Linked DNA regions of Lepisosteus oculatus. The protein of the gene in region 1 purifies or fractionates together with the protein of each later gene. This does not show direct contact. Links are inferred from orthologs where the notes say so. Each region holds a gene or a part of one and is shown in the gene's direction. Other genes may lie near its edges. The genes, in order: skia, sin3aa, hdac3 and E3 ubiquitin-protein ligase RMND5A.

Evidence for each region.
Region 2: the proteins of skia (region 1) and sin3aa purify together in Homo sapiens (affinity purification with western blotting; 3 studies listed by BioGRID and IntAct, with this or other methods). This does not show direct contact. The link is inferred for Lepisosteus oculatus from reciprocal best matches to the Homo sapiens genes SKI and SIN3A.
Region 3: the proteins of skia (region 1) and hdac3 purify together in Homo sapiens (affinity purification with western blotting; 4 studies listed by BioGRID and IntAct, with this or other methods). This does not show direct contact. The link is inferred for Lepisosteus oculatus from reciprocal best matches to the Homo sapiens genes SKI and HDAC3.
Region 4: the proteins of skia (region 1) and E3 ubiquitin-protein ligase RMND5A purify together in Homo sapiens (affinity purification with mass spectrometry; 3 studies listed by BioGRID and IntAct, counting the BioPlex papers as one, with this or other methods). This does not show direct contact. The link is inferred for Lepisosteus oculatus from reciprocal best matches to the Homo sapiens genes SKI and RMND5A.

The regions. Positions count from the first base shown.
Region 1 is NC_090720.1:4,150,459-4,157,761, forward strand, and holds the start of skia (v-ski avian sarcoma viral oncogene homolog a), read left to right. Parts: upstream 1-4,285; 5' UTR 4,286-4,833; coding exon 4,834-5,739; intron 5,740-7,303. UniProt on the Homo sapiens protein: May play a role in terminal differentiation of skeletal muscle cells but not in the determination of cells to the myogenic lineage. Functions as a repressor of TGF-beta signaling.
Region 2 is NC_090700.1:60,643,356-60,651,182, reverse strand, and holds the start of sin3aa (SIN3 transcription regulator family member Aa), read left to right. Parts: upstream 1-4,814; 5' UTR 4,815-5,065; coding exon 5,066-5,178; intron 5,179-7,827. UniProt on the Homo sapiens protein: Acts as a transcriptional repressor. Corepressor for REST. Interacts with MXI1 to repress MYC responsive genes and antagonize MYC oncogenic activities. Also interacts with MXD1-MAX heterodimers to repress transcription by tethering SIN3A to DNA.
Region 3 is NC_090706.1:38,473,145-38,480,930, reverse strand, and holds the start of hdac3 (histone deacetylase 3), read left to right. Parts: upstream 1-4,769; 5' UTR 4,770-4,953; coding exon 4,954-5,008; intron 5,009-5,990; coding exon 5,991-6,073; intron 6,074-6,537; coding exon 6,538-6,680; intron 6,681-7,437; coding exon 7,438-7,519; intron 7,520-7,786. UniProt on the Homo sapiens protein: Histone deacetylase that catalyzes the deacetylation of lysine residues on the N-terminal part of the core histones (H2A, H2B, H3 and H4), and some other non-histone substrates.
Region 4 is NC_090696.1:35,728,887-35,735,748, forward strand, and holds the start of E3 ubiquitin-protein ligase RMND5A, read left to right. Parts: upstream 1-3,842; 5' UTR 3,843-3,857; coding exon 3,858-3,972; intron 3,973-4,090; exon of another isoform or gene 4,091-4,177; intron 4,178-4,268; coding exon 4,269-4,427; intron 4,428-6,862. Other genes in the region: E3 ubiquitin-protein ligase RNF103, read right to left, coding at 1-80.

The DNA.
Region 1 (7,303 bases):
TTTAATGGATACAAACAACAATGTGGTGTATTTAGACATTTGTGGTGTATTTGGTGAAGTTTCGCCATGATTAATTAAATGAAGAAGAATTAATTGGAAGAGCTGGGATATTTCTGCTTGGGAATCAGTCCAGAGATGTGCAACCAAATACATTCCCATGTATTCTAGTGTGGATTGTTCTATACTGACAGGGTAAGAGAAGTTCATCATTTTAGTGGTGAGCAGAGTGGACTATGGGAGAACCCTATTTTTATTCTCAAAAACATTGATAAAGTAAACTGAATGGACTTCTTCAGAATCAACAGTGGAACATTTGGAACACACAGGGAATGTGTGTTTAAAACTGAGAATAGAGGACATGTTTTGTATATGGACATTTGGAAAAAGCAACCCAGAAGGGCTGACAAAGCTGATAACGTGGCTTCATCAAAGAAAAGCCCAAAAGTGATCCTTGGGTCAATTAACTGATATCAACCAAATGAAACGAAGTGCTAAATGGCCTCCTCTCATTTATAACCTTACTAATAAACTTATGTTCTTTGATATTTCAATGCCTAGAGCTGGTGCTTTTGATATCCGTATACTAGTATCTTTGTATTCCCGACCCCTTAAATTTCCACATGTGATTTAATTGGCTAATAAATTTGTTGGAACTCTGTCAATTGGCTGCCATTTAACAGGGGATAGCTACACTTCTGTGGTGGATACAGTCCTCTTCTGCCTGTAAAGACCCATTAGATCCTTGGGAAACATACAATATTATCACCATTATCATCAGGAAAATTATTCCTTTGCTCCAATTCAAGAAACTATCCTCTATTAAGTAATTGGGAGCACTTCTGCATCGGTTTTACACAATGCTTGGAGGCCATTTGATGTTTTCAATAAAATATCGGATAAAAGAACAAAGGAAGAAAATATGATAGTTCCTTTGACCAGGATTTATTTTCTCTTTAATAAAATCCATTCAGCAGGGACCTACTATATATATACCGCTGTGAAGAAACCCACTCCTTTAATAATAATTGCTGACGGGTATTATTCGCGGGTGATGAGTTCATGTGAATCAAGCAATACATCCGAGATTTTAGATGTGAAGTCTCCACAGATATCAGCTTGGATTTTCCCCCCAGTTGGTTTGAAGTTGTGGTCCCAAGCAACAGAGGTTTTTCTGATTCTAACTCTTCTTATCCATTAGGGGTTTATCTTTTCGTGAAAGGATATGTGAGAATTGTGAATCCCAGTGTTCTGCTGGGTATGTCTCTCTTAGTATTTTCATAATAATGTACACTTTATGAAATGAAAAATTCCACGAGGTTGCAAAGCTTGTTTTTATTGCTGTTGCCTTCCATGTGCAATGTTAATAAAAATACCATTTTCAAGCACATTGTAATCACTAAATGAAGGAACAAATTAACATGTGGTGACTTACATCTTGTTATGAGAAACAATGTCATGAGAATCTTTAGCTGAAATATGTACTATTTCGCCCAATAAAATGTGCTATCTCAATCATTTATATATGGATGTGTGAAAACAGTACAATCGTAACAAAAATCAATAATACTAATATTCATTTTGGGGCAGCATGATGGCGCAGTGCTTAGCAGTGTCACCTGAAATATCCGAAAAAGACAAATCTGGCAAAACATGACTTGAATTTATACAGGCGCATTTTCATTTGAAGCTCAACAAAATGTTCCTGATAAAAAATAAATGTACCTTATCAACCTACTGTGCTACTACAATATGGATCTGTCTCCATATACTCCTCCCACTCTGTATTTCCTGACTAGACATGGTGACCCCATTTCCTCATAATGACTGTCCCAGTGCCACAGACAGTGCAATTACATCACTGTCCTGCTAGAGGGAGCTAATGATACAGAATAATCAGTTTAGCTTCTCAATCCCACTTATTGTCTCTGACAATTGGACATATTTCCAGTGTAACTGGCTGAAAGGAATGATTTCACTGCATAGAGGAAATTGGAATGCATTTTTTCTCAGACATTTTTATGGTTTTGTTGTTGTGAAGCTTTAAAATCTAATTAAAAGGTAATACTTTTCTTACAAACTCTTTAACACTTTTATTTCATTAAAAATATTAATTGAAAGAAATGTTCTACATGTTTTTTTTGGTAACACATGCACAAAATAGGCTATAAGTGTGAATGTGTTCAGTATTAATTATTTCCCTTAATTGTACATTGTAGATTTAATAAAGCTCAGAACATGTACTCTAATGTATTACTATCACATAAAGTTTTGAAATTGATTACATTCATCTGAGAAATAGCAGCACTTGTTAATTGCATAAAAATCTTTTCAAGTGATAAAGGTATACCTAAAAACCAAGAAAAAATCCTGAGATGACACGGTTTTGTATTTTTGTGTAATCATATCCTTTAAATGAAACAGCACTAGAAATGCTATTTAATTATAAGATTAGCCCCCCACTGCAATAATCAGCACATCAGGAAGGGCAACTCCTGAATCAAGTTGTTCTGGGGCAGTTCATGAACACGATCCATCACCCAGTCCACCCAGGTAGTCGAGTGTGTCTTTGACAAAATCCAGGTTTTAAAACCTTTCAGCTCTAAGGCTTTATTTGACCATGCTTGCTGTGACCCCCTTTTTGTGTAACTCGTAAAACTGGACGGGTAAGAAAAGGCGACACATATCAATGTACATTGTGACTGCCTTAGCTATGGTGTTCATAACTCTACTTGGGGAGGGCCATGAGACACAATAAAAGAAGCAAGAACAATAACAGAGAACTCAATTTAAAAAAAAAAAAGAACGAGGAGCATGATAACAATAACACCAGGCCCTTTCCAAAATAAAGAATTCTTTAAGGAACTGTACCAAACTTTAAGCCATTAAAGGACTTAGGAGGTATTTAGTCAAACAAATTCTTCTTGGTTTCAGATGAATAGGAATGTGTGGGTGGATTGGTCTTATAAAAGTGCAAACACCCACCATTTTCATTCTCTGGTTCAGAAGTTTAGAGTCCATGTGTGTTCCTAAGCTGGCCTTGAAGATACATGTGTATGTGTGTGTGTGCTGTGGTAGGTGGGGGGACTTATGTTTTAAGTTACATTCTTCACTCTGATTTGAAGAAAGGCAGGCATCCTTTCTCCTTTTCGGAATGGTCAACAGCTGTTGATATCAGGGAATCATTTCCATGCCCCCCCGTGATGATCAGAAGTCATCAGGAATGGTTAGTCCAGGGCAGTTGAAGTCAAAGGTGTGCCACCTCAAAAAAGTTCTGTTCCCTGCAACCACATATAGGAGCTCTGGGGCAAGACAGGGTTTTCTGTGAACTCCGGCTCTATTTGTGGCTTTTTGCAGGAGCATTTTGGAAGAATCTCTGGAGCAAAGGAGAATCTCCGCAAGGAAAGTATTGTTAGACATGCCTTGAGTGCAAATGCATTTGCAGTTTACAGTCCGATAGGGCAAGTGCATGCTGAGACTGCAGTACACACTAAGCACAGACATCCAGAAATAAAATCTCTGTTTTCCTTGAATGTAAAAACGCTGATACGCCTTGTGTTTTGCTGCACTGTCTGGTCTGTGTTCAGATTCGAGGGGTCTGAAAAAAGCCAGGGGTTCATGAAGCCCTGAAGATCAAAATGAGCCCCCGTAGTTTACCATGATCATCATGAAGGGACTTTGCAACTAAATAAAATGGTTTGTTCAGAACTAGCAGACCTAGAAGATGTGGAAAATTGGTGGAGCAGCCTCGTGCAAAAAATATTAAACAAAAATCGGCCAAGATTCCCCCTCTGCGTTACACGCGTGTGTCCTTAATGTTTAAGAGCGCTTTGAACATAGAACCTACTGAGCACTGGAACTGATTAAACAAAACGAAAAAAAATATGTAAGCACGACTTTAAAAAAAATAAAATTCTTGTATGTGACAAACATCAGACTTTATTGCTTTACTTTCTGTCACTAAATGTTTGTAAAGGACTACTTTGGTCTATTTAAATAAAAATAAATAAACCGCAGTCACTCGTAGAATTTGCATTTCTCCTTAACGTCTAAATTAGACGTCTGTTGCAAACTCCACCCTTCCTCTCGGTTTAGCTGCAGACATTCTGAGCTGTGAACCAAGTGATTCACCATGCCCTGTGCTCAAGTCTCTTTTTTTTCCTTCCTTTTGCAGCAGCACGGGGCTGAGAAGAGAAGAGGGGGAGTGACGACATGTTCTTGGAAGAGCCAGCCTGGGGAGTCAGTCACATACTTGGCTGGGATTCAATGACTGAGCCAGACACACACAAACACTGAGAAAGGGGGGCTGCGAGGGAGAGGGAGAGAGAGAGAGAGTGAGCAAGCAAGCCTAGCTAGGTTGGCTGGCTGGCTGTAGTTGCACAGGCATATCATTACTGCAAGGGCAGACAGTGTGGATGTGAATTCTACCACTGCAAAACAGAAACGAAAAAGAGAGGCAAAGAGTGTACGGACTTTACAGTTTTGGGAAATTCTGAAAAACAAAGTTCAGAAGTATAGGTGGATACTTTTTGTGGAAGCGAGAGGCGCTTATTTTTTTCTTTATTGTGGATTGAGAAAGAAGCACTGGTGTGGATATGGACAGTAGGGAACCTACTACTGCAGGGGAAGACTCGCCGGTGTTACCGTACGCTTAGTCGGGGGATTGGACGCGCACTGTGTAGGACTTCTTTCTGGATGTTTGATGAAGCGCCTTTTCACCTCTGCTAACTCTGGGAGACCTTGGATTTACAAGGAACCGGGACCAGTGTGGGTTATCTATTGCTTTAGTTCTACCCCGGCAAAAGGAAGTTTCGCTTTTCAAGTAGTAAGTAAAACATGGAGACTGTAACCCGACCAAGCTTTCAACCTCATCCAGGACTGCAACAAACTCTGAAGCAGTTTCATCTGAGTTCTATGAGCTCTCTCGGCGGCCCGGCAGCCTTCTCAGCTAGATGGCAACAGGATATGCTGTACAAGAAAGATGGCAAGGACCCAGAGCCGGTCCTTCATCTCCCTATGCAGCCGCCCCCTGTGATGCCGGGTCCCCTCTTCATCCCGTCAGACCGCTCCACGGAAAGGTGCGAGACGGTCCTGGAGAGTGAGACTATCTCTTGTTTCGTAGTCGGCGGAGAGAAGCGGCTCTGTCTGCCCCAGATCCTCAACACCGTCCTGCGAGATTTCTCCCTTCAGCAGATCAACTCCGTGTGTGACGAGCTCCACATCTACTGCTCCAGGTGCACGGCGGACCAGCTGGAGATTCTTAAAGTCATGGGGATTTTGCCCTTCTCGGCACCTTCGTGCGGCCTCATCACCAAAACGGATGCGGAGCGCCTCTGTAATGCCCTGATTTACGGGGGTACCTTTCCACCGCACTGCAAAAAGGAGTTCTCCGGCTCCCTGGAGCTGGAGCTGACGGAGAAAAGCTTCAAGGTATACCACGAGTGCTTCGGGAAGTGCAGGGGACTTTTCGTGCCCGAGCTGTACACGAGCCCGAACGCAGCCTGTATACAGTGCATGGACTGTAGGCTCATGTACCCGACCCACAAGTTCGTGGTCCACAGTCACAAATCCTTGGAAAACAGGACATGCCACTGGGGTTTCGACTCCGCCAATTGGAGGGCATACATCCTCCTCAGCCAGGATTACACGGGCAAAGAGGAGAAGGCGCGCCTCGGGCAGCTTTTAGACGAAATTAAAGAGAAATTCGACTTCGCGAACAAATACAAGAGGAAAGCCTCAAGGGTAAGTTTCGGCGTGTTAAATGCTCGGACCTTTTGCACTGAAGGGCTGTGACAGGGAGCTGCGTGTTGGTGTGCATGGAGCCGTACGGGGTTTACGGGACAGCTTGGTCCGATTATACCGATCGAGTGCGCCGAAATGTTCACCTGAAGCTTAATTCACGAAATGTATGTGACTAATGCTTTTTTAGTCGTATCAAGAAATGTTCCTAACTAAATAACAATACTGCACCGCAGTGCAGAACTTCAGCTCTTCCTGCTAGACGGAATGTATTACTTTTTTTTTCTCGTCGGAGGCTTCCACGTTCCTCGCGTAGTGCATGGGTCCGATGTGCTGTGTTCGTCGCTTTAGCCGAGAAGAATCAAACCATGGGGGCTTAAATCATTTCTCGTCATTTGTGCAAAAAAGATATTTCGCCGTTGGCCACCGGGACGGGTGCGAGTCGGGATGTTGTTTTTGCGGGACACCGTAACACCTAGCGCGGTCACTTGACAACATTAAAAGTGTGTGCTGGCGCAAGCTGTGGTGAAGTTCATTATCAAATGTAACAAACAGTTGTCACTTTGAGTATTTTTGTTTTTTGTTAGGTACTGAAAATCCAAAACATTGAAAAACAAATGCGTACTATGTAACCATTCATGACGTTTCAATGGGAAACGGATGAAGCAGTAAGATTCGGGCGACAACTGAAATGACCTAATTTAAAGTTAACATATGGCTACTAATTAGCTACGAAGAATAACTAAACGCCTTTACGGTTATAAAGCCATTATTTGCTTGTGTAGTAGCCTGTCTTAGTAGGTGTGAAAGTCTTCTTATGCGCATTCGTATTCTTAGAGTGTTCAAATCCGCGGTAAACACAGACGCCTATCTGATATGAAGAAGTATGCATTAATGAATGTATTCTAATAGTAGCCTTTAATAATAATCAGAGTTTGATTCTTCTTGAAGCACAGTTTGTTTGGGTTTTCCATAGATTTCAAGAGATAAGAGGATTGACAGCTGGTTATGTTATATCAGGAACACCAACGGAGATTTTCATTGAAAACGCTTCGCATGGAAAAAATACCACTTTCACCCTCCCTCTGCAAGGTGCTACTGTTGCCCGCTTACTCCTCTCCCTCTTCTCCGAGTTCTGCATTGCCTTTCGCCCTTTTGCGATGTTTTGAAAATGTGAAAATGTTTAACATCGGAATCTCAGGTATTCGGAGGTGAATGTGTTTTTAATGACGGGCCCATCCCCGCTTAATGATGTGCTACTTAGCAAAGGTTGGATTCACGGAGGGTGGTCAACAGCGGTGCTTTTTGGTGGGAAAGATGCCAAATGTTGTGTCTGCCACGAGGGCTCGGTGAAAGTCCTGAACCTCGGTGTTAGTTTAACACAACGTGGTGAATAGATAGCTCACAGAGGTTATTTGCCCCACATAACCCTCTATTTGACTGTAGAATCCCAGAATCCCGTGATTTTCTCATTTTATTGTGTTCTCTCTATTGTCCGAGGGGAAAATAAAACGTCAATGTTTCAGCCACAAAAAATGTTTTAAAAACTTACAGAAGACATAAAACA
Region 2 (7,827 bases), on another chromosome or scaffold:
TTGGTGTTTCTACAGTAGGTTAGTTCTACAAACTAGATATACTCTAATGTTTTATTTTAATCTTTTCATTTCTGTTTACATTTTAGATTGTCATAGGTCTTAATCTTGATCTGTACTGCTAACAATTATATAAGCAAAATGATAGGAATGTGCACTAGTAATAAATTATATAAGATGACAAAGACCCTGAATGTTTTTTTAAGGGTAGATGCCAAGTCTTAAAACTGGACTGAATTGGTCTCTCAGTTCTAATCACTTGGATTGAAGGGCTTCACTACGGTCTTTATTCATGATTGCATTGTATGAATCTCGTGTGGTTATGCCATCCTTTCATTTTTGAATCAAATCTCTATATGTGTGGTGTTCCATTATTTAAAAATAAAAATCTTCGGCTTCAGGGTGGACTGTTGGCAGATGTCCTTACAAAAAGCTCCAGAGAAGACAGACGGACACGAGTGCTGTTTACCTGGGACTTCACGGAAACTGCACGTCTTACTCGTCTCTTTTTACAGGCACCATCTCTTAAAAGCATTAAGACATTTAATTATAATAATAATAATAATTGCTTACACTTATTTAGAGGCCTGCAAGAGCTTACTTTACAAAGACCGTTCTAAGTATTACTGTAAATGTCATGACCAGGTGTAGCTTTAAAATCACTTGTTTTTTATGTTATGTTTTGTACGACAGGCCTAGTTTTTTAGGGTGAACCAAGCATCTCTTGATAGACGCAGGACTACACAGCATTTCAGGTAGTATTTGGCGGGTTATATTTAAATAACAATGACGTAATGAATCGTGTTCTCCAATGCCGAGGAAAGGGGGCGTGTTCAACTATTTTGTTACAAACACGAATCCGGAGTGTGAGGCTTCTTTTTTCTAGGTATGTAACAGCTGTTAAAACAAAAATAATTACAATTTAAAAACTCAAACTTTGCAATAAAATAAGTGGGCTACGATTGCGGGCTCGCGGGGTAGTTACTTAAAGAGGGCGCCCCTTTTGATCTTTCTTTGCTAATGTGTTATCGATGTTTGAAAATGAACAAATTCAGAAAGCAGGAAGGGCTGTGTGGAAGAGGAGGGGGCATTTTATTTTATTTGTAGTTTAGGGTTCTGCAAATGCTGATTTATTTTGCCGATGTTGAAGCCGGGCAATGCAGGTCTTTTTTCACACTTGGAAATGCAAAACGTGTAGGAAAGAGATATGCACTGGAGGACAGCAGTATCGAAAACGTTGAAAATATTTCTCCGAAAATAGGAGTAAACAAAGAATTGCAGGGTTGTATGTTGAGACACGGATTTTCCCTGTTAAGTCTACTTGCGGGTTACTGTTGATGCGTATTTAAATCGAGAATCCATACACGGTTATCTTTTGTGATATTCACGTATCCTGATCTTTTTTTTTCCCTCTCTGCTGTCAGTTATATTTTTCGCTGGACAAAACCAAGCTAAGACTTGGCTTAACGCAAAGAAATGTATCTGTGGCAATGAGACCGTCCGTTTCAAGTGTGTATTTGTCTCCGTCGTCACGTTTATTCTCGACAAAGATCTCCAGTTGCGTGGTAGGAAATACGAACAACAAAGAAATCGAGTCCGGTATTAAGACGTTTATGAGCCGATTTGCCGCGTCTCCAGCGGATCGCTTGAGAGAAACCATTGCTTTCGATTTCATTGTACTCTTGGTTGTTTGGAAGGGTATTGAAATGCCTTACGCTAGTGGTAACTTTGTTTTAGATTATACGGAGGCGTTTTAATGATAATGTTTTTTTATAAAATTCGTTATGTCTGCCGGTCTGAATCACTTTCGTCCGAAGAGTGAAGACGGAAGACTTCTCACCAGCCGAAATGTATTCGTCATTGCATTCGTGCTGAAACAAAACCATGGTAGCAAAATGGTTACGTGGTTAAATGCTTAGAACATCGCAACATCGCCAGCAACGACCACCCCCCAGCACAAGTGTAAGAACAAGTAGCTGTGTGTGCAGTAATGTTTATTTATGTTGAATGCACATTTCTGTGAAGTGCTTATGCTTGATCTGAGCCGATTGCATTAATTTTAAAGTAGCTACGGCTCTCCTGCACGTGAAGCGCTTCATGGCAGTACTGTGTGGCGCCCGCTTGACTGTTTATATAGAAAAGAAATTCAGATGGAGGGGGGGTGGAAAAAAAAAAGCTAAGATCTTGCCAAATCCCCATTCACAAAGACCCATACGAAGGAAAGAGTGCGTAAAGCAGGGACGGACGATCGGGTAACCCGCAAAGATTTCGGAGCGAAAGCGTCAGGTCCCTCAGACGCTGGGAATCCCGGGCAGCTTTCTAGTCCCGCCCCTCGTGGGCGGGGATTTATTTCCGAGTTCCGCCTCGTGTGGGAGGGGGTAATTATCGCAGTTCGGACTCTGATTGGGCGAGGCCGGGCCACGCCCATCGAGGAGGGCCCTCCCATGACGTGATGCGCTGGCTTTTACACATTTACGCAGGTCAGTCACGTGGGTCCTATAAATTCAGGAAGTCCGTGTTCAATCCAGGCTGGGGTCGTTGCAGGTTTTGGCAGAACCTCGCGTTCGTAACTCCCCACACGAGTCAATCTGCATGTACGGGTTGTAGGTGTGCTTCTTTCACGTCGCTTCAGATTTAGTTGCTATACGGCATAGTTTGATTTGACCCTATACCAAAGTTGCTCAACAACATAAAACTCGCAGTTTTTGAACCCGGAGATAACTAGCCAGCTACCATTTTGAATGTTATTCACCAATGAACCAATCTTGGTGCAATAGCAATTATTTTTTCTATCGTTCACATTGCATGCTATTGTAACATTGTTTTTGTATCAGTAACGTTTCGTTTACACGTATGTTATTAATTTTATTCTATTGACAGATTTAGCTAAAATGCGTCTTGTTATAAATATATCTTGTAATGGCAGTGAAGAATTGGCGTTTATTTTGCTGTGCAGTGTGCCCTGAGTTCTTATGTGCACTTATCTCACCAGTCTTTTACTGTATTGAGAACACCTGTAAGATTCACGCTTCTCATTTTATGTGTAGCCTATGCATTTTTTTTTAGCTTAGGAATGAGGACTTGAATAATAAAATAAAAAAAATGAAATTTCACCCTGTTGAGTTCACAACTCAATCTGAAAAATGTTCACCCTTTTTTCAATGAAAGATTATTATCGGGAGGTTGGCGATTCAACCCATGTAGCTCATTTTGTTGTTTGTAGTTAAGTGATCTTACTCGCTAACTGCCAGGGAAAAAAGCCAGGTTATCAGATTTGACAACATGGCTAGGCATCTTATTTCAGCTTCCTACAATCCCTGTGTAAAAGAGTGACTCTTGTTGCCAACTTTGGTTGCTGGTCCCCATAACTCCAAATTGCGACCCTTGATCCATGTCTCATTGTCGGCCCTGAACAGGTCTGCTAGAGGTAATGTATCTCGTAAGGAAAGGAACTTGGCCAAACACATTCAGGAAGAATATCAGAATACATCTATACACCTACTGTCATTACTGTGACTGCATGACAGTGACACTAGTTGCCCCTGCTTTTTAGCACTTAGAACAAGTTCCAGTCGAACTGCTGTGGACTTGTACTCGTTTTTATGTGATTCAGCCCCTAACTGAACTAACAGTAACAGTTTACACGATTGGAAACATTGAACGTTTTTTTCTTTACTCAAAAAGATGGAGTTCTTAAGTTACCGATGAACCAGATGCTAAAAAACAATCTTGTTTAGGAACCACAAAAAAGGTTTACATCAATCCTATTAATAGATCAGGTAAGGGTTCACGTTTAATGTATAATGTAACCAAGGTTTTAGCTGGAACAAAATTCAGGTGGTCTATAGATCCCCACAGGTGCAGGAACATTGAAGAATCTTGATAACTTTTAAGGAAAGGCCCACACCACAGTTTAATTAATTTATAAGGATTTTTCTGTTACTGGTTTTTATTTCGAGGGCAGGAAAATTAACACTTTATAATACAATGAAAAGATGAAAGAATAATATAAGCACAGTGTACTTTATAGATCTACGGAAATGGTGAACAGAAACGCTTCACCCTTCTTTCTGAATAGGGAAAATGTACGTATTTTGAAAAAAGGTGTCCTATACAGAGTGAAATGACTTTTACAGGACGTATCTGCCATTTGCCTGAAATGTCAGTTGCATAAGGTTTATGTTCATAAAGACAACCGCGTAAAAAAAACGCTGCCTCGATGGAATAGTGGCTGGTCAGATCTCAGTGTTTGAGGTAAACAAAAGCGACTTGTGCTTTAATTCCATGCAGGAGTTGAAGTGTTTCAGTTCCACAAGTTCGTCAACTCATGCTCGAAAGCGGAGTTGTTTCCCGGTTTTGTTTTGAGAAGAACGACTCAGTAGTCCGCTGTACACTTCAGTTACGAAGTAAAATGCTCATGCATCGAGGCGTTAATCGAAACCAAAGCTGAGATCACAGGAAGCTTGAGTTATCAACGTAAAAAAATGAGAGCCACTTCTCGATACAGCCCTTCCTTCCTTCTAAAAAAAAAAAGTCGGTTTAATGGAGGTCCACTCGACAGAGCATTGTTAGAACTCAACCGGAGAGGCGTAACCCTTTCTTACGTGATCGACGGGGTCTTGAGCCAAGCAGACATGTTGTGTAGTTCAAGTATGTACGCACATGGCCCTCCTACCAGCAACCCCTAGTCTCCCGGAGCCCCGGTTCTCCGGATTTCAATAAGGGGCGGTGCTTTAGCAAAGGATGAGTGACGGGCCGCAGCTCAGCCCCTTTGTGAGGTAAGGCTGAGTTTCCCCTCGACATGGAGTGACAGGACCCCCAGCCAATCAGAGAGAGGAGGTTACGTCCCCTTTTCGGTCTCTTTCGGGCGGAAGCCAATGAGACGCCGGGGTGGGCGGGGATTAGCCCACCTTCCCGGAGCCCCTCCTCTCGGTAGAGAAACGAACGGAGGTTGTTTTCTGAAGAGAATTTTCCTTTTGCGGTCTGGCGCCTGGGTTGTTTATTTTATTATTATTTTGATATCTTTTGGACACAAAAAGTTCTTTTACCCAGTCCTCAGCCTTGTTTTATGGTCGTGGGTTTTTTTCATTTTAATGTTTTTATTGTCTGGAGAGTTTTAAGCAAAACAAATAAAAATAGGTGCCGAGTTATTTCTGTTTCAGGTCGCAGTGTTACGAGGAGGTGAGTTCTTTCAAATTTGGTTATTTTGGGGGGATTTTCGGATGAAGATAAAGAAATGGAAGGATCTTCCGAAATCGGTCCGGTTCGGTGCATAGTTTTTGTTCTGATCTGGCTTCCTCGCTATGATCTCATGGTCAAACTGTGTGCATGTGTAGTGTCTGCATTGACTGCCTCCGAAATGTAATCTGTATGAATACTGTTGGGGAATACTTAAAAGTCCCCCTTTCTTTGGCTTGCGTACGAAAATGACTGCTTTGTCACGGACGCTTATCGGGTTTTTTTTGTCCTCCTCCGAAATGCATGTGCCTTCTTGGCAGGGCATGTAGTTCTCCCGAGCTACGTGTCTGCGGTGCAGCCTTTCAGAAAGACTCCCTTCCCCCGGCGGCGAGCCGACTACGCGAGGTCGGGGCTTGTGGATTTGGAGGCAGGCCGCGCAGGAGCGGGGGGGGGGAGGGGAGAGTTGTGGAGGTAGGGGGGACGGGGGGGGGGGGGGTCGACTGGCCATTCTCGGATTAAAAAAAAAAAAGCTTGAAAGAAGGAAAGAAAAAAGGGTTTCGAGACGCTTTGGAATCGGAGGGTTTTGGTTACGGCGGCGGCCGGGGGGGTCAGTTGGTGGCAGGCTGGCTGCCTGGCCGTGCGGTCCCGACCGTAGGCGCCCGTGTGCCGCCTGGGGCTGTGTGGACCGCGGGGCGATGGGGCTGAGGAGTTGTGTGACGGATGGCCAGGCACTTTTGCCAGGAAGGACAACAACGCATCATCCTCACGATGTAATAATAATGACCGCGGTGCGAGGCCGGGCGGCGTGATGCGGACGGTCCGGGGAGGCAGCGCTTTGATTTCACGAATAAAAAAAAAACACATTCGTGAGCCGCTGAGCCTCCAGCGCCAATCCCAGCGCCGGCCCAACAGCCCGGAGTTGCGACAGCGGTGCCGGCGTGTGTGGGTTTGAGTCCGGAGTCTTTTCGATCGTTTCAAGGACTTTTGATGGAGCAGGTAGACTGCGCTGGCGGGCGGGGGGGGGGCTGGGGCAAAAAAATAACGGAGATCGGATCTGCCCCCCCCCCCCCGCCTGGTTTGACTCGGATCTTGAGCGCAGTCAGGGGTGTGCTTTTCCCCCCCGGCGCTTGGGAAGGCAAGATCGTGTGGTATCCGGCTGATCGTTCCCTCCGCCCGCGATGGGTTACTGCGGTGGAAACCGTGAGTTAAGTTTCTTAAATGACCATTGTTCGGTGCTGGGGAGCAGTTCGCCTGCCTGCTTGTCGGCGGGGGGGGGCACCTGGCCCGGGAATTGAACGTACACACCGCGCACGTTGGTGGGACTGCGGTGACGTCACCGAGATCCGCAGCATGTGTTGCCCGGTGGCCGTGGTGGTGGAAGCAAACGAAGTCGGGAGAAAACATCACTAAATTGCGCCGCCGAAAATGCCGTGAATCCACCCCCAAGAGACTAAACGCTTGTCTTGCTCCTCGTACCCCCCGCCGCCGTAGATTACAGTGGTCGAGTGGAAAGAAACATCGCCGCGCTTTCAGGGGGTTGAGATACACTGCGTTCCCAGAGTGGTATTGATTCGTTGCTAGTGAATTTTGGCGGATGGGGGTCCTGTACCCATACAGCTGCCTACTGTCTTCACTGATCAGATCTTGGCTCCTTTCTGAGATGATCTGTTGCTCTCCTCTCCAGTGACCCCAAAGCTGTTCATTACTGTTCGTGGCACAACTCACCCTAGAATCTGCCCTTCGATTCTGTCATTAACTTTAGCCTTAAGTCATCAAGTCAGTTGGAGTTTAAATAATGAGGTTAACCTGACGACTGGCGAAAGAGTTTGTAAAAATCATTTTTGATTCTGAGTCTGCTTCAGATTCATCTGTCTTAAGATCTCATTTGGAGCCACTCACATAGCTGTGCTGAATGAGAAGATAAGATCACTTTATTGGTCATATACAATTTCTTGCATTAGGAATGATAAAAAGGTGAAGTGCAGCAGGGCTTTTTTGAAATGTAACCTTTTCTTCTTCCAAAGCAAAAAAATCTTAAAAGTGCCCTTTATCGCCCTCAAAGTCTCAGTCGAATTTCACAGGCTCGGGTGGTAACTGTAATTCTAGTCCTTTCTAGTCATGTACTATTTGTACCCTGTTTTCTACCGCAAATAACTTACTCGTCTCTCTAATGATCTGAATATATAGCAGCAAAGGGGTATTAATGCAAGTGAAAATGATTTGCCATGAACAGATATTTACTGAACCTATTTGTGTATATGTAGCAGCTTGAAAAAATAAATGTGTACGTGCAGATTTAGTACATTTGCAGGAACCAAGTTAATCACTTTACAAAGCATCTTGTGCAAACTGAACATGACTGCCCATGAAATACAGTAATGCATTTTTACAGTCCGTTAACATTCCATGATATTGATTGCATAGTCATGTCATGTCCAAGAATCAGTTTTACAAGGCCTCAGAGAGAAAATTGTAACTTACTTTGGCAAACTTTGTCAGCAGAGACGTTGTCTAAATAATACCAAGCAGATAATGCCTTATATGCTACAGGGGTCAAAGATATTAACATTTCTAACAAGTTTTGGAAAATTATTTTAGTAAGATGTTGGTCCTTTCAGAAGTTAGGAAAGTGCTACAGCATTTAAATTAAGG
Region 3 (7,786 bases), on another chromosome or scaffold:
CGCCACTGCCTTCTCCCCCCTCCCCTCTCCACCCTTTGATCCCTGTCTGACCCGTAGGAAGAAAAACAGCCTTGTTTCCCTGAAACAGCGAGAGGGAGCAGCCCGGGCCTTCAAAACACTCCCGCACACAAACATCTGCGGCACGCACCGCCCCAGCTTGCTCCTTCATGTGCTACTCGCTGAAACAGCTCCCGGCTGTGAGTTAGACAGCACAGAGCACGTGACCTGTCACCCCACTGTGCCACCCTCTGGGGTTCTGCACCTTTCGGGGAACCAAACGTTTTTGGAAAGAGTTTTGAATCGCTGCTTGTAAAAAGACACAGAAAACCGTTACCGTTCTGAAATGATTGCATGTTCAACACATTTCGTCCCAAAACAGAAACAGTGTGCCCCTGACGTTGTCTGGAATAAACGCGTTCATGATGTCGATGATGAGGGTGATCACGATGATATTATTACTGCCACAGCAAGAGGTTAGATTGCAACATCATCCTCTATAGCCAAGGTTAAAAACAGAAAACTGTTTTTTACACCTGTATTTGAAAATATAAAATATCCAGCAGTAAGTGAGCTAATTATGAAGTCTTGCTAAGTACTGCCCAGCATGTACAGCAGTTCTTCTTATCTCTAATGAACTGATTTAGCTGCGTCTGTCCTTCAGGGCTCAGCTTTCACAGCCTGGCCTCGGGGTAGCACTGTTTGCCCTTGTCTGTCCTGGCTCGACCATAATTACTGTTGCTGTGAAACACTGAAGTCTGCTCATTAATGCTTCATAATGTGCAGAGGTGTCTAAGCAACTGTAGGGTAAATGGTAAGCATTTGAGCTCCCTGTGACTGTGCCTCGTCCTCATGTAAGATTCTATACAGCTGGAGAAGTAGAACTCTGTAACAGTAAACACTGTAACCAAGCAAAGTTACAGCAGCTCCCTGCCCGTGCAAAAGATACAGATGCATTAGATTGCTTCTCCTGTAAACATCTTCGCAGGCTTTCGATAAAGCACACTTGCATGTGTTGTTGTGCCAGTAATGGTGACCTTGGGTTTTAAGTGTTATATTGCCTGGCGTGGCTAACCGCCTGTACTGTACTGTACCTGGAGCACAACAGCATTATTTTCCAAATGAACCCACGGCCCTTGTAAAACATATTTTCGGCGCGTTTAGCGTACTGATGATGGTCGTATACCAAATCACAAACAAAACGGGTAAGGAAGAATGTATTCTCAAATCACATCCTGAATGCTTTAGAGTAGACGGAGGCGGCTAAGCAGGTACAAACCGGAGTCAACTGTAACCACACCCTCCACTCCTAGTGAACATTAAGACGCAAAGTTGAAATCATTATTTAAAAAAAACGACACACAGGCACCAATTGAAAATGCCTGAATGGACTGGGGTCAGCATCCCGTCTGCTCTGTACTTTTTCTCATGTGAGGACTGTTAGCGGTCAGGGATTCTTGGGAAATGAGAATTTGTCTGGTTCCTTGATTTAATACAGTATCCACATGACAACCACAGTGGCCAGCTGTGGAAAAATTCCATCAATCCCTAATGCGAGAAATAACTTCATTCTAGAGTTGCATTGTGAGTTATGCAACTGGAAAATAATAAATGCTACAATGTGTCATTTATTATTATTATTAATAATAATAAAATTAACAGGCAGTTTAATTTTAAACAATATTACCGTAAATCTTTATGTACAAATTCATGATTTGTTTGCTACGGGCGTCACGAATTGCGGAGAATCTAGCTTCGTTGCTTTTCAATGAAGATTAAATCGAAAGGGTTAACTTTCTCCCTTCTGCACTAAAACCACCCTTGTTTGTTAAATGTTTCACATACACCGCCCCCCACCACCACACACACACACACTGACACGCTCCTAATTTCCGCGCCCTGATGTCACACGAAAACGGTGTTCAAGGTCTTTTTATTTAAAAAGAAAAAGGTTTTCCTGTCACTTAACTGCTTTCCAATACCTCGCGTCGCCATGACAAAAAAAAAAGAGAGAGAGAGACTCCAGGGGTGGGAAGAGAAGGAAAAACAACACCGTGCGCGGGTCTAGGGAGATGCAGGCTGCAGCCTGCATCTTTTCCAAGTTTCTGATCCCTGATAATGATCTGGTGGGCCCAGCGCGGCCGGTGACACACCTGCCCTTGGGCTTGGAGTCAGACTCCGGGGACACCGTGGGCTGCATCAGTAGGGCGCTGCTGAAAGCCGTCTAATACCGTGGCAAGACAGTCACAAATACGGGCACAATGTCTCACCAATAAGCCCGTTTCAACATGTTTCTTTTTATCTCTGCGAAGTGTGGGATGGTTTGCGTGTGTGTGGGGGGGGTATAATTCAATATTAATAGCATTCTCCATTCCCACTCAAAATAAACAATCCTATAAATATATATATATTTTTTAAAAAAAATCTCAGTCTGAGGGGCGTAAGAACGTCATAGGAAAGGCAGTACAGTATGCTTAATGGTCGTTTGCTGCCCCGAAGATGAGATGAGACGGAACTGCAAGACGAGCCCTCTGCTTCACGAACACAGCCGTCTCTCCCTGCTCCTGCAGCCCCGCATCACAAACACTAGCCAAGGCACCCAGCTCTCTCATCCGCCCACCTTCCCCGCACGCCCGCTGGCCTCGCCGATCAAGTGGCTGCTGTTCAGTGAAGCCCCCTAGTCGCCCCTTTCGTCCTAACGGCAGATTAAGAGAGGAGGAACCTGCGCTTACCGGGTGCTTACAACTGGACGGCGCTGCTCCTGTGCGGGACCATCCAGCGGCGCGGTGCTCCCGAGATCCGGACGAGCGCTGCTCTGAAGGCGCACCGAGGGAGGGAGAGAATCTCCTGCAAGTTATTTAAAGGGAAAAAACCTCAAAGCTTTGGATGGGAGTGCTGCGTGCGGAAGGAGACACGCGGCCAGCTGCCCCTCTTTCAATTTCTGTGATATGCAAACCCCCTCACTTCAGAAACGATTTCATCACCGGTCGTATCTATCATCATATATTGTGCTTTGGTCTCGCTTTACCGTTTCACTGTAAATGAACCTCAGCGTGCACTGTGAGATCAGTCTCCTTCTGAAACGAAAAACTGCCCTTTTTGGAATGTATCGACTACATCGGTATTGCTCCGTGTTTAAAAGAGTTTATTCATGTAAAGAAAAAGATAGCATTTCAAGTTAATGTTTTTTTTTGCTTCGTTATATGAAAAGGGGGGGACTCACTCTTACACAAAAAGTGTACATCCAGCGTGGTCTAAAAAGTAGTTTTTTTTTTTTAGGGTTAAGGAATGAACCATACATATTTTGACACCTGAAGACAGTTTCTTTCCCTTTCACCATTTCATTTTCATTTTTCCATAAATATTTTGCTTGCTCATAAATACACACACACACACAATAAATACACACAATACTCGTTTAAATGTCATACGCCCGATGGGAAACGTAGTGGCACTTTCGCCCTGACTAGACGATACACAGACCAGCTCTATAAGGGAGAGCTTTAAAACGACTTGAAAACATTGTAACAGCATAGAAATATATCAATAGAGAAGGCAGTTTCATTCACCCCTGGAAGTTTAAAACCCCTTACCATAAAGGATAGAGGATAGTATCTCTGTCATTCTCAGGGTGGCAGCTGTGTTGTTTATTATCAGCACTGTAGTTGCTGTGCAAGACTGAATTGGTAATATTACTGTAGCTGCAGCTATGTGAAATCTGGGTGGTTTCGCTTATTTTAGACCCCACTACACCGAGATAACATGTTCTAGATTGTAAGGAGCAAAACAAAATTCTTCACGGGACTCCCCTAACAGTTATTATCCTCAGAATGACTTCGAACAGGGGGGACGCAGGACCTGTGTCTTTTTTAAGCTGTGCGTTTTTAAAGTCGGAATTTAAACTTTGTCCGATTCAAGGAAGTGATGGGCTGCCTGGTTCTTTAAAAGTTATGTAAATACAACCAGTAAGCGAAGTCTTGTTACAGAATTTGTTAGCATATATAGTATAATATTATAGAGAGACTTGAACAACACATTCTGAAACATACAGGAATACAGGAGGACCCGACACTCGAAATCGTGAAAGGCGCTGGAAAAAGTAAACCAAAACATTTCTTCACAATGAACAGTGAAACACGAATCGGGGGACACGAGTAAAAACTACGTGGCAAAGCAGCTAAAACCGTGACACGGGAGGCATGTCTTTGCACCAAGGGTCGTGGGGGTGGGGAACAAATGTAGAAGATAGTATGGTCAGATATGATTGAAGATTCATATGAATTTATACTCATTTCACATTACACGTCGTTATAAAATGTAATACTCGTTTATCGATGTAAAAAAATCGATTTCTTATAGTAGATTGGTGCGATTATAACTTTCTTCAGATCTGCCGTGTGAACATATTTGGGTATGGTGTTTCTATATGAACTAATCATCACCTGTGCTTTTTGATATCCAGATTTTGATTTCAATATGTTTTAACACGCGGATATCAATATTTGATATATCAAATATTGACATATTGACGCGCAACGATAAAAACGGAATTTCTCATGAAAAAAATAAAATACCGATAAGAATACGATTTGAAATATTTCCGATATCAGAAATTATTTTTATTCTATATTCGGTAATCGAGGCAAAGATGTTTAAACGCTTAATCGCAATTTTAAACATGAATAGAAATGAAAGTTCCTTAATACGAGACCCCGCCACTTTCGACGTCTACGTCACATAAACATACGTACGCATATTCGTGACGTAGTACACCATCTGCTGTTTCTGATGACGTCCCGCACAGGTCTCCCGTGTTTTACTATGGCGGCGATTTGGTAAATTAAAAAGAAAGCTGAATTAGAGTGAATTAGAAATCCTGCTTGAAAATTAAGTACAAAAAAGAAGGACTGCCTTCACTGCTGTCTGGACGACACTCTCTGTTCGTTTTCCGCTGTGATGACGAACAGGACGGCGTATTTTTACGACCCAGACGTGGGGAACTTTCATTACGGTAAGATGGGCTTGTGGCTACTGTTATTTTATCGTTTGCATTAAATTTCCGATCTTAGCCCCAGCTTTCCACCGTCTTACTTACTACGTGAAATAATTTATCAGCGGTCCTGAACTTTTATACGAGTGATGATCGATATCTCCCTTCTGAACTTTGCAGGTGATTATACTAATTTACAGCTGTAGTTGCAGAAGCCTTTATGAAGTTCAAACCCACTCAGACAGCTCCTCTCCTTCAGTAAATATTATTTCCAGTGCCCATTTTCATTTTAGAATATGTCTGCTCCTTTCATATTGACATGTGCGGTTCTGAAGTGCACAGGCGCCTCGTTTTCATTTTAACATCCGGACGGCCGGATCGTCGATTTGTATTTCAGTACCTCCGCATAGCAAACAAAAAACAAAAATCAAAACCGGCAAATTAAAGAAAGATAGCTTTTCGTGCCGTCACAAGGCTGCAGAGCTTGTGGTAGAAATTACCGAGGGATATATTGTTGTGTTGCTTTTACTTTTGACATCCTTATTTAGGTATGTATTGGGCCCGACAGGCTGAATAAGAAAGGTTTTAATAATCAATTTTGACAAGATGACAAACCCTTTCATTTTTATCCCGCTTAAACCGCTAATTTGTTCATTTATGTACAGTAGCTGCTCAGTGCAGTATTGCTTCATGGTGAACTGATGAGGGATTTCCAGTCCATCTCAGGGGAAATCGTAGAAATGCCAGTTAATGTGTAAGCCCGAGATTGAGCTGTAGGAGAAAACAAGGGCACCTGGAACCAACATCTTGCCTTGGGAATAACACTGAATCCAGGACAGGAAAACCCAAGGACATTGTTGTCTCCCAGGACAGGCGATGTGCAGTTTTCTCTCATTGACAAACGCATCACATTCTCCCACCCTCTGTACGTTTACGCTTCTGGTTTGACTTACTCTACAATACCAATGAATAATTCTTTCATTTTGGTTGTGCCCTTTTTAAGGTGCTGGACACCCAATGAAACCCCATCGACTCTCTCTCACCCACAGTCTTGTTCTGCACTATGGGCTCTACAAGAAGATGATGGTATGTTTTTTTCCCCAAAGTGAAGATTAATTTTGGCAGTGAGGAGTTTCATCTCATTTGAAGAAAGGGGTTTTAATGATTTTGTGTGTTATGAATTTATGCCTTAGGCGTTTTTGGCCCACACGATCTAAAAAATGTGTGGAGTTACAGAAGTGTTTGCACATGAGGCAGAGTTTGACACGGAGTTGGAGTAGAAATGTAGATGTTGCCTGCGCAGATGTGGAGGGCAGTGTAGGTCAGGGGCCCGCAACTGCTAATGTTCAAAGAAGAATCTATATAAATATGTATATGTATTTGCATTGTTGGGCCTTTTTTTAAATCCAGAGTATTTACAGGTAATGATCTGTATATACAACCCTTGGTTGGATATATGTGCATCCAGACCCCTTGGTACCATTGCACACCGGCTGTGTTTGTACTCTTTGTACAGTATACAGTGCCCTTGAAGTCTTTGTCTGTCTCAGGTGTTCAAGCCATACAAAGCCTCCCAACATGACATGTGCCGCTTTCACTCGGAAGATTACATCGACTTCCTGCAAAAGGTCAGTCCCAACAACATGCAGGGCTTCACCAAAAGTCTCAACACCTTCAACGTTGGGGATGACTGGTGAGTACAGGGGTGTTATTCTGTCTTTGGACATATTTGTCTTTTCAAATACGAAAATATGCTAGCAAGCCTGCAGGCAGCACGGTGGGCGCAATGGTTAGAGTTGGTGACTCGCAGAGCTGGGGCTCTGGGTTCAATTCTGAATCTGGTGCGCTGTCTGTGTGGAGTTTGCATGTTCCCCCGGTGTGCACATGTGTACAGTTTCCTCCCGCAGTCCAGAAACATAGTGGGAAGTACATTGGCTTCTGGGAAAGTTGACCCCCCTGTGTGAGTGTGTCTCTGAGTCTGTCTAACCAGAGGTGGACTAGTGTCCCGACCAGGGTGTGTCCTGCCTATAGCCTATAGAAATACGATGACATTTAAAAAGAAGACATCTCTGTGGAAAGAAGAGGCTGTCCTGAATGGATCTGCCTGCTTGATTGGGCTTTTGTCTGTACTTGGCTATAGGTTATAGCTTGGTGTCTCATGTTTCACAGCCTCGTTCTTGAGCTACAGAAAACTGCCTTCTGGTCCAGAACGTTTCTTTCAGTTGAACACGCGTGGCTTACAATCTGGTTTTGCTTCTTCACATGGGAGCAAGCCTATAGACATTTTAAAAAGAAGACATCGTTGTGAGAAGAAGAGGCCTGCTATGTCCTGGGGCTGCTGGTGCAGAATAGTTGCTTGCGATGGTTATAATCACGATGGTGAGTGGTGGAGTCATTCTCAGTACTCCGTTATGTGTGAGTTAATGCTCTTGTCTCCTGTCGTTGCCCAGTCCTGTGTTTCCTGGCCTGTTTGAGTTCTGCTCACGCTACACGGGAGCCTCTCTGCAGGGAGCAACGCAGTTAAACCACAAGGTACTGTCTGCCCAGGCAAAATGCTCTTGTTAGCTGTGCACCCAGCCAGGAGAGGAGCATGCAGGTCCGCTCGGTGCTGTGGTGGTTTCGACGAGAGAACGTGCATCTCATCTGGATTTGCTCCCAACTGAGTACTTGTTTCAAAGCGCGAGCTCTTTCCAGGACCATTGTGCAAGTCAGGCTGTCGTTCACTCCATTTTCCTTGTTAAATGGGCTGCATTGTTCGCATTTCAGAGATAGGGGTCTCTTTCTGTTGATTTCATTTGT
Region 4 (6,862 bases), on another chromosome or scaffold:
CACACGACAGCTTCGAAAAACCGTGCCAGAACGAATAAGACCAAAAAATACAACAGCAGAAAAAACAGCTTCAGCCACATTTTCCACCTCCTTGCTGCAACGGGAATATTTTTAAAACGCTGGCGCTACGATTTCCGGGTAGGAATAGGCGAGTAACCTACGTTGCATTTGGGGCTCGTCTATTTCTTCCTAAGACTTGCTTTCATTTGCAGGCTTCCCCTTTAGCGCTGGCTGAACTTGAAACTTTTAAAAAACAAAGAAGCAATCCACTCTCCACGATCAGCGAGCTAACAAGGCCCGTTAAGGCCAACTGTACAGTCTCTGGATGTCCACCATTTTCAGAAGTTGTCTTGTGTGGGGAAAAAAAAATCAAATACAGTGCGAAAGCTTAATTTACGCTCTCCCTAAAACAATAAGATGGTCAGCTTTTGCTGCTTATTCCAACCCTCCCAGCGTGCCAATTGTGAGCAAATTCATGACATGTAATGACGAGTTCAGATCACGGCATTTTTAGATAAGCGATAGTTGCCGTTGTCCCTACAGTTGCTGATGTTGGAGCGCCTTGCCTGCCAGATCAGCTGGCATGCATAACAACATGACGTCACCGACAGGAAGGACCGACGAGACTTGTTTCATTTTCTTCCAATGGAAAAGAAGCGAAGCTTTTGGATTCGTAATAAAATAAACCTTGTTTATATCACGCATTGGATTCCAGCATACTGTAAGAGTATAAACCGATTACACGGGCTGTGGTAATTTAAAACCGTTTTTAAACTTACCAAACTAAGAACCATGACCAAAATGTCTGGATACAATACATTTAATTGACTTTAGAAGATGTGTTTATTCTTTAAATATGGTTAGTAGAGTTGTGATGTAAACTGTAAGAATCCTGGAACAGAATTACTTTAATGTTAGCATATAAATTGAAAAGATCGCAAAACGTGGGTTTAGCAGCATTAAAAAGGTTTGTTTTAAAATGCACTGACATTTTCCAAGAATGGTATTTTAGAAAATATCTTCACAAAACAGCAGATCTGGTCTCACAGTACAACAAACGCTTCTGTGTTGTGTAGCAGTGTCCATGTCAAACCCTCAGAACACCCACATGCTCAAACATACATGGCAGAGACACTGCAGCTTTCTATCCTGCCAATATACAGAATGTGTAATAGGCAAAATGAGGCAGGAATAGAAGCTGCAGTTGCTACATCAGCTTCTTACAATAGAGTAGGTATTAAAAGTGGCAATTAAACATGCTTTGTTTTTAGTCAAATAGATTTTGTGTACAACTAAGTGTTGGATAACTGATATCTTTTTGGAGCAAAGAATGTGAGTTTTCAATGAGCACTTTAAAAATATTATTTATATTCCAGATGCTATACATGTTATTAAGACAGCTATTAAGTACCGAATGCTCTCGGAGGAAACTGCAGTTGAAATTGTGTGAGTCATTTGCACTAAGAATGTGATTTCCCTCTCCTTCTCTTGCAACTGTATAGAATTTTCATTTAAATTTCTTTCCAAACAGCATGTAGTTTGATAGGCAAAACTTCTCTGAAATTTAAAGCTCAGTTTTCTTATTGTATTAAATTATTAAATAGTCATATATGTAATGAGTTAATACACCGCATCCGTTGCAGAGACACAACAGTCATCATCAGTCAGGCACATACTTTTTATTGGGCTCTGCAGTAAGTAGTGCCTAGATAAATTAGTAATTGTCTTTTTTTTAAATGTTGTAACTGAAATACACATAGAAAAAAGTCTCAGCCATGGCATGGCTACATGGCTATCGTGTCTGTTATTAATAAAAAAATATAGCATTGTCCATCTCAGTCAATTCACTAGTGGGTGAAGACTTCCAAAAAAAAAACATTTTAGGAACTTGTATTTTCTACTATGTTTGCCCGACTTGTTCTGGTGATTTTCCTTCTTTACTATTTTCTTCTGTATTTACATACACATTATTGTGTAAAACTGTTCTATCCTTTTCATTTAGTGTTTTCCCTGCTTTATGCAGAAACAGAATTCAAGCTATCTTCTCTTGAATATACAGTATAGCCATTGCATTTTAAGATAAGTTCAATCTGATAGATCTGTATATTGCAATGCAAACATAGCCTGTAAGCTTATTGATGTATGGACAGAAATAAATAATAATAATACACTTTTATTTATAAAGCTCTTTTCCAAACCCAAGGACGTTGTACATCATGAATAAAGAAAAACAAATTAAAGTACAATAAAAAGTACACACAAAAATAAACAAGTGCATACAGGGTTTAACAGATGTAGTCAACCAGATGTAGACTTTGGTAAAAGGAAAGTTTTGAGTCGTTTCAAAGAGCTTTTTAAAAAGTTATCTTAAAAAAGTTGTAGAGTCTGAGAAAGGTCATTCCATAACACTGGAGCAGCAACAGAAAAGGTACAGTCACCAAAAGTCTTTGATTTAGTCCGGGGTAAAATGAGCAAAGGACCAGACCATTTAACTATTATTGTTAAATGATATTCCCACTAAGGAAAACCTCATTAAATTTATTAAATGTGTAGAATTAACTACTACAACACTTACCTGTATATGTGCTACTCATGTGGAAGTTACCTCAAGTTCTTCTATACTGGTGCTAGCTAATTCTCACCAATATGAATAAAATGACAAGCTTCTATTTGTTATACTACTACACAACACTTGTGGAGACTTTGAGTAAATTGTTAATTCTCACAACATGAGCCAGCAGCCATATCACCCTGCAACTCACAACTGGCAACCCACTGAAACTAAGCAGGTGTGAGCCTGGTCAGTACCTGGATAGGAGACCTCCTGGGAAAACTAAGGTTGCTGCTGGAAGAGGTGTTAGTGGGGCCAGCAGGGGGTGCTCACCCTGTGATCCATGTGGGTCCTAATTCCCCAGTATAGTGATGGGGACACTATACTGTGAACAGGTGCCGTCCTTCGGATGAGATGTAAAACCAAGGTCCTGACTCTTTGTGGTCATTAAAAATCCCAGGGTGTTTCTTGAAAAGAGTAACCCTGGCGTCCTGGCCAAATTTCCCATTGGCCCTTACCAATCATAGCCCCCTCTATGAATTGGCTATATTGCTCTGCTCTCCTCCCCACTGATAGCTGATGTGTGGTGAGCTGCTGTCGCATCATCCAGGTGGATGCTGCACATGGATGAAGTGGTGGTGGTGTAAAGCGCTTTGAGTGGAGTGTCCAGAAAAGTGCTATATAAGTGTAATTATTATTATTAACACAGACTTTTGCACACTATTGTATATAACACATTACTTCCAAGTTTTCATTTACAAAATATTTAAGAGTCTTGACTTAGACGTGTATCACTGCACTTGTTAATTATTCATAAAATCTTGCTAAATCTAAGGTGTATATTTTTCACAAACTCTCATTTATAAATATAAAAAGCTTCACATCTTCTCTTTAATTTTCGTCCCCTTTCTCCAAAATAAGTACTAATTTGAAATATAATTGGCTAGTCAAACGTAAAATAATCATCAAAACATAACTTTAAACCAATGTGATCAAAATTCATATCAGTATGCACAAAGTGCAGAGCGCTAAATGCATTCGGTGGCAGTTCTGGTGTAACCACATTCTCAGCGCAACTCTTCGCTGCGTCACTGATTTCAGAGTAGTTCGATAATATTACTGCCAAACAGTTAATAAAATGTGCGTGTAGGTCATTAATAAATGGATAAAAAATCTATATGACTACACACTGAATTGATGAAGGGAGCTATATTCAAAATGTCACACAAACTTCGATTTGTAAACATCATTACGAAGTTTCGTAAATTGGTAAACAAACACAAGCCACGGACCGAGCGGACTCGGGATGTCAAACGGAAGTTCCGCTACGCTCAGTCACGCGATTCGCTCGGTCCTGTCACGTGGTACAGCAGGGGACGTGATAACTGATAAAAATGTGCTGTGTTGCTTAAGAACAGCAGGTAACTAAAGCTTCTACAAATTCTACCTTATTCCTTTAGATATATTTTTGCATTTAGGTATATACTGAAAAATTGGTTATGTTTCGCGTGGTCCTAATATTTTCGGCACCCCCCTGTGTGCCAGCCTGTTGGTGTCGCCCTTGGAAATCGGGTCAATGTTCAGGTCCATTAAAAACAAAAACATTCTGCTTACGCCAAAGTTGAGGTGAAGGTGTTTTGGTTTTGATTTTTTTTTCGTGTGCGTGTTTGGCGCTGCGTGTCTTTCCCTTTCTTAAATTCTGATTGTATTTCTGTAGCGCAGACGAGCAGCGTCATGGATCAGTGTGTTAATGTGGAGCGGGAGCTGGAGAAAGTGCTGCAGAAATTCTCGAGCTACGGGCAGCACTGCGATAGGACACTGGAAGAGCTGATCGAGTACACCAGTGGCCTGAAACACGAGATAATACAGACTGGCGGTGAGTTTATATTTTGATGAGGGAAACGTGGAATGTCATCTTTGTGTTTATCGAGCTGTCGTGAGATCATCTTCCAGACCCATGAAAAATGGTCAGCCCGTTTTAGTTGTATGGGCGAAGGCCTACAGCCAGGTTAGGTGTGTAGAAAACTTCGATGTCCGATTGCTTTGTAAACGTGCCAGTTCCGCAGGATTGCGGTTTCGCACAGTTTCGTTTAGGCCTGTTTGTTTCTTGCCTCCGTGAGTAGTCACGTGTTTTCTGCGTTCACGATTTTGTCTCGTCTCAGTGCAGCAAAACACCCGGTACAGTAACTACAGTGTAGTACTGGTACTGTACATTGTGGCGGATATGATCCACTAGTTAACATTTTGAAAAGAAACCACGAAGCGCTGAAAACCCGATAGAAGTCAAAAGCGTGCTTATCATTTAAGTGTTTTTAAACTTGCCGTTTCTGTGTTTTGTATTGGAAGGTCCTGTGTAGTGATGGTTGTATGTGGCTTTCCTTAACTGTACTGATCGTTTCCATTCCTTCTGGTACAGGGGAAATAGTAGTGGCTCAATACTCGGTACAGACCTTAGGCTTCTTAATAAAGACGTTTAGTGCAAATGATCTTTTAGCGACACCCTTTTCATTTAACATGTGTTCGGGTGAGTTTGAAGAAAACGTTTTTTGGCGCAGGAGTCTACTATAACATATCACATGGTCGTGTTTTTAGAGCACGAAGAGCAAAGGTTTAGTACAGCAACGTACAAGCGCCACTTGGGAAAATACTTATTTCCCCAGACCTGTTGCTTTATTGCGTATCGGGAGGTGTTGTTTCCATAACGAATTGAAGAACGACGTTTTAATATGCTACATAATCGATCGCTATGCTACAGTTATACCTGGACTGCTATACGGCCATTTTTCATGGACATGCCGTGACATGTCATCCTTTTTGGTCCTTAAATCTCCAAGGAATTTTCAAATATCGTAAAACGTCCGGGATTTTTCCTTGTTCTTTTTCCCCAAAGGTTTTCGAAGCATAATGGTTCTTGGGATGAAAAGAGAGTGTTTATTATAGAGTTGTGGACGTGTCTAGCTTGGTACCCCGTTCAGTTTTAGTTCTGAACAGGAATTATTTTTTCGCAGCCCCTCAGCAACAATGTCTGTCTTATCTGACCCAGTACTATACAGCACTTTTTAAATTATATCTGTGATATTTTGTTTTGCTGTCCCTAAACACAAAACGAAGGTGTCCATTCCCTCAGAGCTAAAGACAAAATTCCCGAGTTTTCAAAGTGATGGAGAAGAATTATTTGAATAATTAAAGTTACCCGTTGATTTGTGAGGCCGTATAACTTTTTTTATAATTCTGAAGATATCAATATAGAAACGTAGACGAATTGTGGTACTAACATATACAACACGTTATATAGCATGAATATAATTCCATTCAATAGATACAGGTTCAGATAACTATCTCTCCCTCCAAACAGAGTGTCCTCTTTGAATCTGAATCTTCAGATTTCAAAATGCCATCTTTAAATAAAATAAGCTTGGGCCAGGCAGTGGGTAATAGAGTCTCCTTTACAGTACCGCCCCCAAAAGCAAGTGTGCCTTCTCTTTGTCAAAAGGTCCAGACCTGCAGGGAAGGTCGACACATGGTGCCTTAAGCGAGTACACCTCTAGGCAGCATGAAAATCAGAATACCATCCATCCATCCATTTTCTAACCCCTTTTTCCAGTTCAGGGTCATGGGGGAGCTAGAGCCTATCCCAGCAAGCAAGAAGCGCAACAGTCTCATCACAGGGCAGACACCCACACACACACACCCACACCCGGGCCAGTTTTCTCAGAAGCCGTTTAACCCACCAGTATGTCATTGGACTGTGGGAGGATTCCAGAATTTCCCCACACGAAAAAGCTTACAACAATGGAAAGGTCAAAACATAATTCTGGAGTAATCCTTTGCTACTGTTTTAAAATGACTTTTTAATTACTTTCTTTAAAATCTAAATAATATTTATGTAGAAGAAGAAAAAGGCTCCATGGCCGAAACGTCGTGCTTTCTTTCTTCTTTTTTCCAGCATGGAATAAACCTGTTGCTTGTTCCTTTGCATATTTCTGTAGTGTATACCTTATTGCCATTGCAAATGCTTTTTGTTTTGTGAAATAGTAGCATTTTCCATGTTGTGCATGCACATGTTGCAATCACGCATGCCTCTTTCTGGGGGATGGGAGGCACTGTATGAACCGCTCTGTCTGTTCCTAGAGCCACCCAGGGTTGGTTGCTTTAGGAACAGACAGAGATCAACAAAGGCAGCATGCCAGTGCTAATGGATGTCAACAGTATTTGTGCAAGAAACCTACTAATGTATTGTGTTTAAAGAAAATTCAGTGGGGAGTTCATCAGCGTGTGTTATCTGCAGAGGAAGAGTTAAAAGGTTAATCC